Lytechinus pictus: one gene and its partner. The protein of the gene in region 1 binds, or shares a complex with, the protein of each later gene. Links are inferred from orthologs where the notes say so. Each region holds a gene or a part of one and is shown on either strand. Other genes may lie near its edges.

Region 1 (3,930 bases):
TTCTTTCCACTTATCTTCCTTTAAATATCTTGTGTGATTATAATGTCTGTTACAATGTTTAGCCTCTGAATCCAATCCACATTCTTATTCAAGCTTGTTTTTACATGTATTTTTCTCTTCAGCTTTCAAGCTGTTCAGTGGTCTCATTATCTAAGCTTTCTTAGCCAGATAAATGAGGTTAACCATGCTATTAAAATTATATATATCCAATGCAAGTGTTCACAATATTTTGTATCTCATGTATGCTGGGTGTGTAATTATTTTTTATACGTGTTAGCTATTTTAAGCTATTTTAAGAATGATCTTTTCTATCCTATAATCTTTCTTAACCTTTTGCCTTCTGAAGCCTGTTGGCCCCTGTAAGATGACTACGACCCCTGTTACATCTGAAAGTTTCCTACCCGAGACCCGACCGAGTCCACTTGCAACCTTGACTGGATTATTGGTGGATTAGTTTCGCGAACGGACCGAGTCCGAAATGTGGTCTGTTTACATCACAGCGTTCATTCCCTCCCCTATCGGTACGGTTTCGAGCGGTATCCGATTGCTGACACCAAAGGGCGCTCTCGATCTAGGCTCTGAATAATTTGCGCGCGCTAATTGAAGTTGTTTACATTTCGTTACACTAGTCGGCTGCTACACAAAAATGACAGGGTGGGACATGTGCCGATCATTTCCAGAGAGTCGAAACGACTCTTTACCTTTACCCGAGATTCTGGAAGAATGCTGATGATCCCAGCAGTCGTTGAAGATATGATCGACTTGAAAAGGATACGTTTAGAATGCTTCCTTCTTTCCACTCAAATCAAAGACTTTATCAATCACAATTCACATGTCGCATGCCGCAAAACATTCGAAGAACGACGGGGCTGGGGAGGGGATAGCGCGCGCTATGACGTAATTTGACAGCTGGCGAACGGACCGAGATAGGTTCGAAAGCTGGTGTGCGTTTACATCTACGAATCGGTGGACCGGGGCCGGCCCGATACTTACCCGAGACTACCTCTGGATGTGGTCTCCGGTAGGTTCGCTAAAAGGTGGCCTGAGGTAGGTTTGGGATGTTTACATCTGATTTCTTTCCGACCCGAGGTAGGCCCCGGGCCGGCCCGAGGTAGGGAATCTCTCAGATGTAACAGGGGTCTACGGCTGCATTATATTTAAATCATCATTTTTTTACCCTAGAATTACAGATAATTAAATCACAACTGCATTCATTCTATTTTCGTCTGTTGTATGAATTATCATTTTACGTCTTTTTAAATGCCAACATGAAAAGCTGAAAAATTTCAAGATTTTTAGAATCAATGTTTTTATAGTAACACTTTTATAAAACTTTGTAACATATTTGATGTACATTACAGTATACAAACCCTTATGTTTAGCTTGAGTGTTTTCTTTCATTTCCACCACCATTTCCCCCCCTCCCCCTTGCAGGGAGTTATCTAACGGATGGCTACCTTACGGGCGGTATCCGCATGCTGTATCCGAGCTGCTATGTGCTGGTACCTCAGAGCGAGTTCTCCCATCACCATGCGATGGCTGTTCAGGCTGGTGGCTACATCCCACCACCCTCCATGGGGCTAGGGCATGGCAAGATCAATGGACCTGCAACTCCTGGTCAGTATACTTACTTATATGCAAAGAATCCCCCCAAAGAAAATAATGAAACAAAGAAAATCACCCAAATCACGAACAACTTGCTATTTTAGCAGTTACGTTAGTTAGAATTTAGAGATTTACCTAAGTGAAGAAAAGAAAAGAAAAAATTGACCAAAACCCTCTCACCCCCCCAAAAAAAAATTCTTACCCTGCTTATGGGTGAAAATTCGCCACTTGATGGGTTGGAGATGGTGAATGACATATCGCAAATCGGTCCTTATCATCTAGAGAGGAGTGATAATGAAGTACTAATGTGTCAACGTCCTTTCGAGATGGTGGCATTATAAATAAAGGCTGCTTTGCTCAAGCTCGGATATGTATGAAGTTCTGTGAGCTCATTTTTCCAGTGATCATATGATATTAATCAACTAGTTAAATCAGCACAAAAATAAGAAAATGTATATTGATTTAACTTTCTTAGACATTGATATGTATAATACTTTGTTCAAAGTGTAAATACGTGGTATACACCATGGACCACCAACCTTTTGAATTGATAGGTCCAGTCATTGTATTACATGTATACCACAGGCAGTAATGATACCTTGCACTGAGTGAAACCTTTAGGTCTATCTGTAGTGAAACCTGTCTTTAAAGACCACCCAATGTATAGATGGAAAGTTGCCTTTTTGAGCAAATGGTCTCTCTGGACACTAATAATTATAATAATACAATTTGAGGGAAGCAGAGCATGGTCTTTTTAGACAGGTGGTCTTAAAAGCAGGTTTGACTGCATTGGATTATTAGTCCCTAGGCCCGAGGCATTGCATTTATTTGAGAAATGTTTAACTGCAATAAAAAAAATGGGCGGTCAGGATTAACCAGCGTGGGGGGGGGGGGGTGTTAGGGGACAGAAAAAAAGGCTTGACACATAGTACAATGGCATGATGTCATACTGTCTAATTAAGAGATGACATTATGTCTCTGTGTTCCAAGATAAAGTAATGGCATATGTTGCAAACATTCACTTTATAATTATTTCTCTATTGTTTGTCCCATTAACCATATTTTGTTTTAAATGCACAGATGTTATAGAAGTGCTAGAGAGCACTTGATTCACACTCTGTGTCATTACAATGAAGAGGAAACAGTGAAGAGACTAGGATCAGTTCTAAATTTAGAGCTAAAAAGGCTTATATCCATTTTTGGTTTCTAAAAGAATGGTGACAAGGCCGACATAGTTTCAAATGGGTTTGGAAACAAGTCTAGCATGATTACTTGCTTTCTCAATTTACATGTACCTTGTAGGTTTGGAGAAGCTTTAGAACACATTTCAAACTCATCTCCTATAGTCTCAAATTCAGACTGCAACTAGACTAAATGAGGGTACCATCTGTGAAGTAGGAAATGTCTGTGATGCCATTAAGTATTGATGATTTTGTGGTGCATGGGAAATATTCAAATGCTTGTGCAACCCGACCATGAAGAAAAGGAATTATGTGTTCATGAAGATTTATTACTACCAGGATTATGCACAAATTAGATTGTTATGCAGATGATATTCTGCTACACTGCACCGATAGATTGATTGTGAAAATTGATCAGGTAAATGCATAATGTTCCAGTTGCGTACACATTAGAGATAAAGACACCTATCAAAGAAAAAGAAAAAGAAGAAACAGAGGTTTCCATAGTTCTGTCAGAAGCCAGTACAAACACATATACAACTTAATTTGAAACATTTCCGGGCCCAGTCTTACAAAAAGTTTATATTGGTTAAAATCCAACTTCTTATCTTTACACCGTACAATTTGAGATCAATTTCAATTTCAATTTCATGAGTCTATTTCAACTCTTTGGAGTATACCCTAGGGTCTTGAAATTTCAATTAAAATGACAGTAAACTTTGCTTGCAAACTTTCCCCTAATTAAAGCATTTTTTAATAATACAGTCAACAAGTCATCCTTCCAAAAGTAGAATAATTACGAAAGTCAAAACAGGTTTTAAGACCAAATTATGCAAAGAGTACATTATTTTCCTATTAATATTTTTTCACCTAAGTCTAACAGACTTATTACCAAAGGGAATGGAGAGATTTAGGCAGATTCGTTTATATTATGCAAAGGGGTGGATGAGATCAATAACTTCTAATATATTAAGTTTTGTACCTCTGTCGTGGCCTCCACATTTGTCCAAGAAATTGATCAGAATCTATTTCTTCATTAAGAATTATGTGATGTTCTATTGAGGCATTATTATTTATTGATGAGTCTTAAGAGCATATGTCGAGGGCCCCAGGGTGTTGTTATTCAATATGTTTTCCATTATTA
Region 2 (3,930 bases), on another chromosome or scaffold:
TTTAGCGTAAGTGAGGACACAACCGTTCTTCGGGAAGCGATCTTCGCACATTTTGAGCGCGCTACTCCACACGACAGGTGTAGAATGCCCATGCTGCGGTTTCGAATTTCGCGTGAAACGTGTCACCCCACTGAGAGCATTTCCATAGCAACAAGAGCGCTTTACGTGAAGTGATTTTGAAAACCACTTTCGTGTGATCAAGTGGGAACGCTAGCAAAGCGATCTTCCAAAGTGGTATCCTGAATCGGTTTCCAGTAAACTAGTTTTAGAAAGCGTAATGAGAACGGCCTCTTTTTCATTACTTTCATGTTTGCAATTTGGAAGAAGTCCATATATTCCCACATCCAACAGAAAATTGATTGGACACAACTGTGGTAGATGTCCTTGAAAAGATTGGGTAAAAAAGCAGTGAGTGAACGCAACCTTTATACACAAAGGCACATTCAGACAGCCTGAAGTTCGAGAATACCAGGAATTTTCTGATCATGAAATTTACTGTGATCTTGCTGATCAGAAAATATCAGGTATCTTTGGCAGTGTGAAAGCAAATTACCTGTACTCTAAATTAATATTCCTGAAAGAAAAATACCCTCTTTTTTTTCCAAGGTTGCAGGTAATTTTGCAGTGTAAAAGCAGATTACAAGAAGTTTCTCAACTTGACGAGTAGTTGGTCGCTGGCTCCTTTGGCTGCATACCTAGTGATTTGGAATCATGCTAATTAGACCATACTGTGGATGCTTTAAAACTTCAATAACTTACCCCTGAAAGTGTCTGCTTCTGGTTGATGCGAATGCAGAAAATAATTATCCTGTATATTTTAGCCTGAACAAGTTTTTATAATTTATTGGGTATTCTGGTGATTAAGTTGGTCTGAATACACCCAATGTACGATGTAATGCCTGGTTTTCTCAAGTACATTATGTACACTCTAGAAGAAATTCAGTGAAATTTATTACTCTCATTACTGTTTCATATATAGCCATTTTTGCAATGTCCTATCATGTCTGAATTTCTTTAAAACACGTACATGCTCAAAAATCACTCCTCCATAAAGTCTAGGGATGATTATTTCTTTTCTCTTTTTTATATTTTATATTTTCATTATTACCTCTCCATAAAGTCTAGACATTGCAAAGTCTATTCAATTGTCTTTTCTGTTTTGTGTTTTCATTGTTCCCAGTAAACTCATAAAAAAGTTTACTGGTATTTGTTAAAGATTAATTAATGTGCTTATCATTGATTTTTTTTCTTTCTTTTTAGTTTGGTGTGTATTTTAGTGCAATAGTAGCAGAGAAGCAGAAACTCAACACTTTTCAAGATACAGGAAAGAAAAGGCAGCCAATATCCAAAGACAACTTTGTTCTTGTAAGTATTATGAAAAGCCGAGTATTTGTAGGATTTCTTTCTACTTTTGTTTGTTTGTTAATTGCATTTTGTTCTGGGGGGAGGGGCTAGATACTCATTTGCTTGTGTACTTTCATTTTATCACTTCATTCTCAAATTATGTACTTCAATTTTGATGTATTGATTCAATTCATTTCATATTGTTTGTTTCTTTTTTATTCATTTATTTTTTTCTTTATTCCCCCTCCCCGTTGGGATCTGTCTGTGGGTGTGCGATTGTTCCAGTTATTTTGTTTTTAACTTCCTGTACATAGCTACTTTGTGATCAAGCCAATCACTTGAGCATGCCTGTGAAGGACATGTGTAATAAACTTGGAAGTTTGTTTAATTCCATTTCATCTCATTTCATTGGTCTTTCTTTTGCCATTTTGTGACTTTAGATTCTGAAACCAATACATGTGAGGGCTACATGTGCATGTATATATATATATTATCTGTGATTGAACCATGTGCTTACATGTAGTAAAGATTATTGAAGCTAGCCTGTGTAAAAATATTGTTCATTTTGACCAAGTGGAATTTGTGCAGTACCCTAGTAAAGTTTGATCAGTTTCTTTTAGAACCCAGCTTATATTGTCCTGTCCCATTTCCACAAATCATTATGTTTTTGTTTTTTTTGGGGGTACCATTTTAAGGACGTTCCACAGTTAAAGTGAAATCCATGTCATTTTCACCAAACTTTGCACATAGATACTTCAGAACCTTAATATTCGAAATATGCAAAAATTAACAGAGGTCCATGTGCTTGATTTTTTGCTATAGAGCTTCAAAGTTCACCCAAATTGATGTTCTTAAGAATTGCGCATTCAAAAGAATTTGGCATTTTTAGACCGCCCAAGATTACTACAATGAGTTTAAACCTCTATTACTCACTCCAGTCAAAATACATGAAAAAGTCATCAAATTTCGCAAGAGGGTTGATAATTGTGTCGTTAAATGGAGAATCTATTTATAGTGCTATTTGTTCGCAATTTTAAGTTTAACACCACTGTCAGTTCTTAAAAATGGCGTAAAAGATAACAAAATCCTAATCTAAAAAATGTAAAATTTCAGTAACAAACTACAAACGTACAATAAATGCTGCACTTTATTCAAAATCCATGTCATTTTCACCAAAATTTGCAGAGTTGTAGAGGAAGGTATACCTAAGAGGTACAAACATTAAAAAATAGGGGTTCATGTGCTTGTTTTTAAACTATCAGCATTTTTATTAGAGTAAATGTGAATTTTAAAACACCAAAAATGCGCCGAATGCTTAGTATCTATGTGAAGTAAAAATCAAAACCACTCTACCATTTATTCAAACTCGGGGTAATATTCGTGATTCTTGGCAGCACTACAGAGAAAAATATTTTGAAATCGTAAAGAATACTTTTTTGAATGGTCCATGGAATAATTCGATTTTTTAGCTTCATGAAATAACGTAGTTAAAGTGCAGAAGATGAGAAAAATCAGCTCATACCCGCAGCTAATTAATCACCTGTTCATCCATTGTGACGTCAGCGCGCAGAGTGTAAACTATGCGCAGATCATAATGCGCACAAACATAATTGAGGAACGTCCTTAAGCCAATATAACTCACTTCTTTACATGTCATAAATTGTGTAAATGGATTAATGTGTATGGCAAGTTCGGGTACTTGGGCTCATGTGGGTAACATAATACAATACTTTCTGTATCTGAACCATGGTTGCCTGTCGTTAAATAAAACATACATGTAGTAGTACGAGTACCAGGATAATTTTAGTGCACTTTTCGTAACCTACTTGAACCACTTTCAAATTAAATATATCATTTTAAACTTGAGATATTGGATTCTCCTTCAAAATTTGAAGAGGAGTCCACTCTTGTATCAAGTTACATGTAGCTTCTTTAGACAGCGCAAAAGACAATGCTTTCTCTTGATTTTTTTCTCTTTTTTTGCAAGGGGGAGGCTGTGAATATTGATTATAATAATAATATAATAATATAGGTATATTTACCCAGGGTTACCCAGGGTAGCCACTTCAGTTTCGAAAACTGTTCTACCAGCGGGCCCTGCTATTATCATTACCCCGGCCTTAGCTGAGCTGCCTAGGCGCTCAAGCATTCAAGGAATTTCTTCCTACCGGGTACCCATTCACCTCACCTGGGTTGAGTGCAGCACAATGTGGATGAGTTTCTTGCTGAAGTAAATTACGCCATGGCTGGGATTCGAACCCATGACCCTCTGTTTCAAAGTCAGAAGACTAATCCACTGGGCCACAAAGCTGAGAATATTACATGATGAAACTTTACTAGAAAAGAATTTGTTTAAGGAATACATTCATGGCTGTATGAAAAATTAGATCACAAAGACCTACATGTATAGTCAAATTGTTAAGGTGTGTGTGGGGGGGGGGGGTAAAATGCCTAATTAATATTTTTGGGTTTAAATCATCATGTTTATTTTTAGTAGCTTCATTTCATGCGTATGTAATTTCTTCAAATGTCATATCATAACTTTCTTATAAGTATTTGCATCTAATGTTGAAACCTACAATGTTT

What was found.
Region 2: mediator of RNA polymerase II transcription subunit 13-like (region 1) and mediator of RNA polymerase II transcription subunit 12-like protein share a complex: the UniProt entries of both Drosophila melanogaster proteins name them as parts of the cdk8 module of the Mediator complex. The link is inferred for Lytechinus pictus from reciprocal best matches to the Drosophila melanogaster genes skd and kto.

The regions. Positions count from the first base shown.
Region 1 is NC_087246.1:19,873,233-19,877,162, forward strand, and holds the start of mediator of RNA polymerase II transcription subunit 13-like, read left to right. Parts: upstream 1-1,432; 5' UTR 1,433-1,475; coding exon 1,476-1,617; intron 1,618-3,930. UniProt on the Drosophila melanogaster protein: Component of the Mediator complex, a coactivator involved in the regulated transcription of nearly all RNA polymerase II-dependent genes.
Region 2 is NC_087260.1:27,736,731-27,740,660, reverse strand, and holds the start of mediator of RNA polymerase II transcription subunit 12-like protein, read left to right. Parts: upstream 1-1,264; 5' UTR 1,265-1,365; intron 1,366-3,930. UniProt on the Drosophila melanogaster protein: Component of the Mediator complex, a coactivator involved in regulated gene transcription of nearly all RNA polymerase II-dependent genes.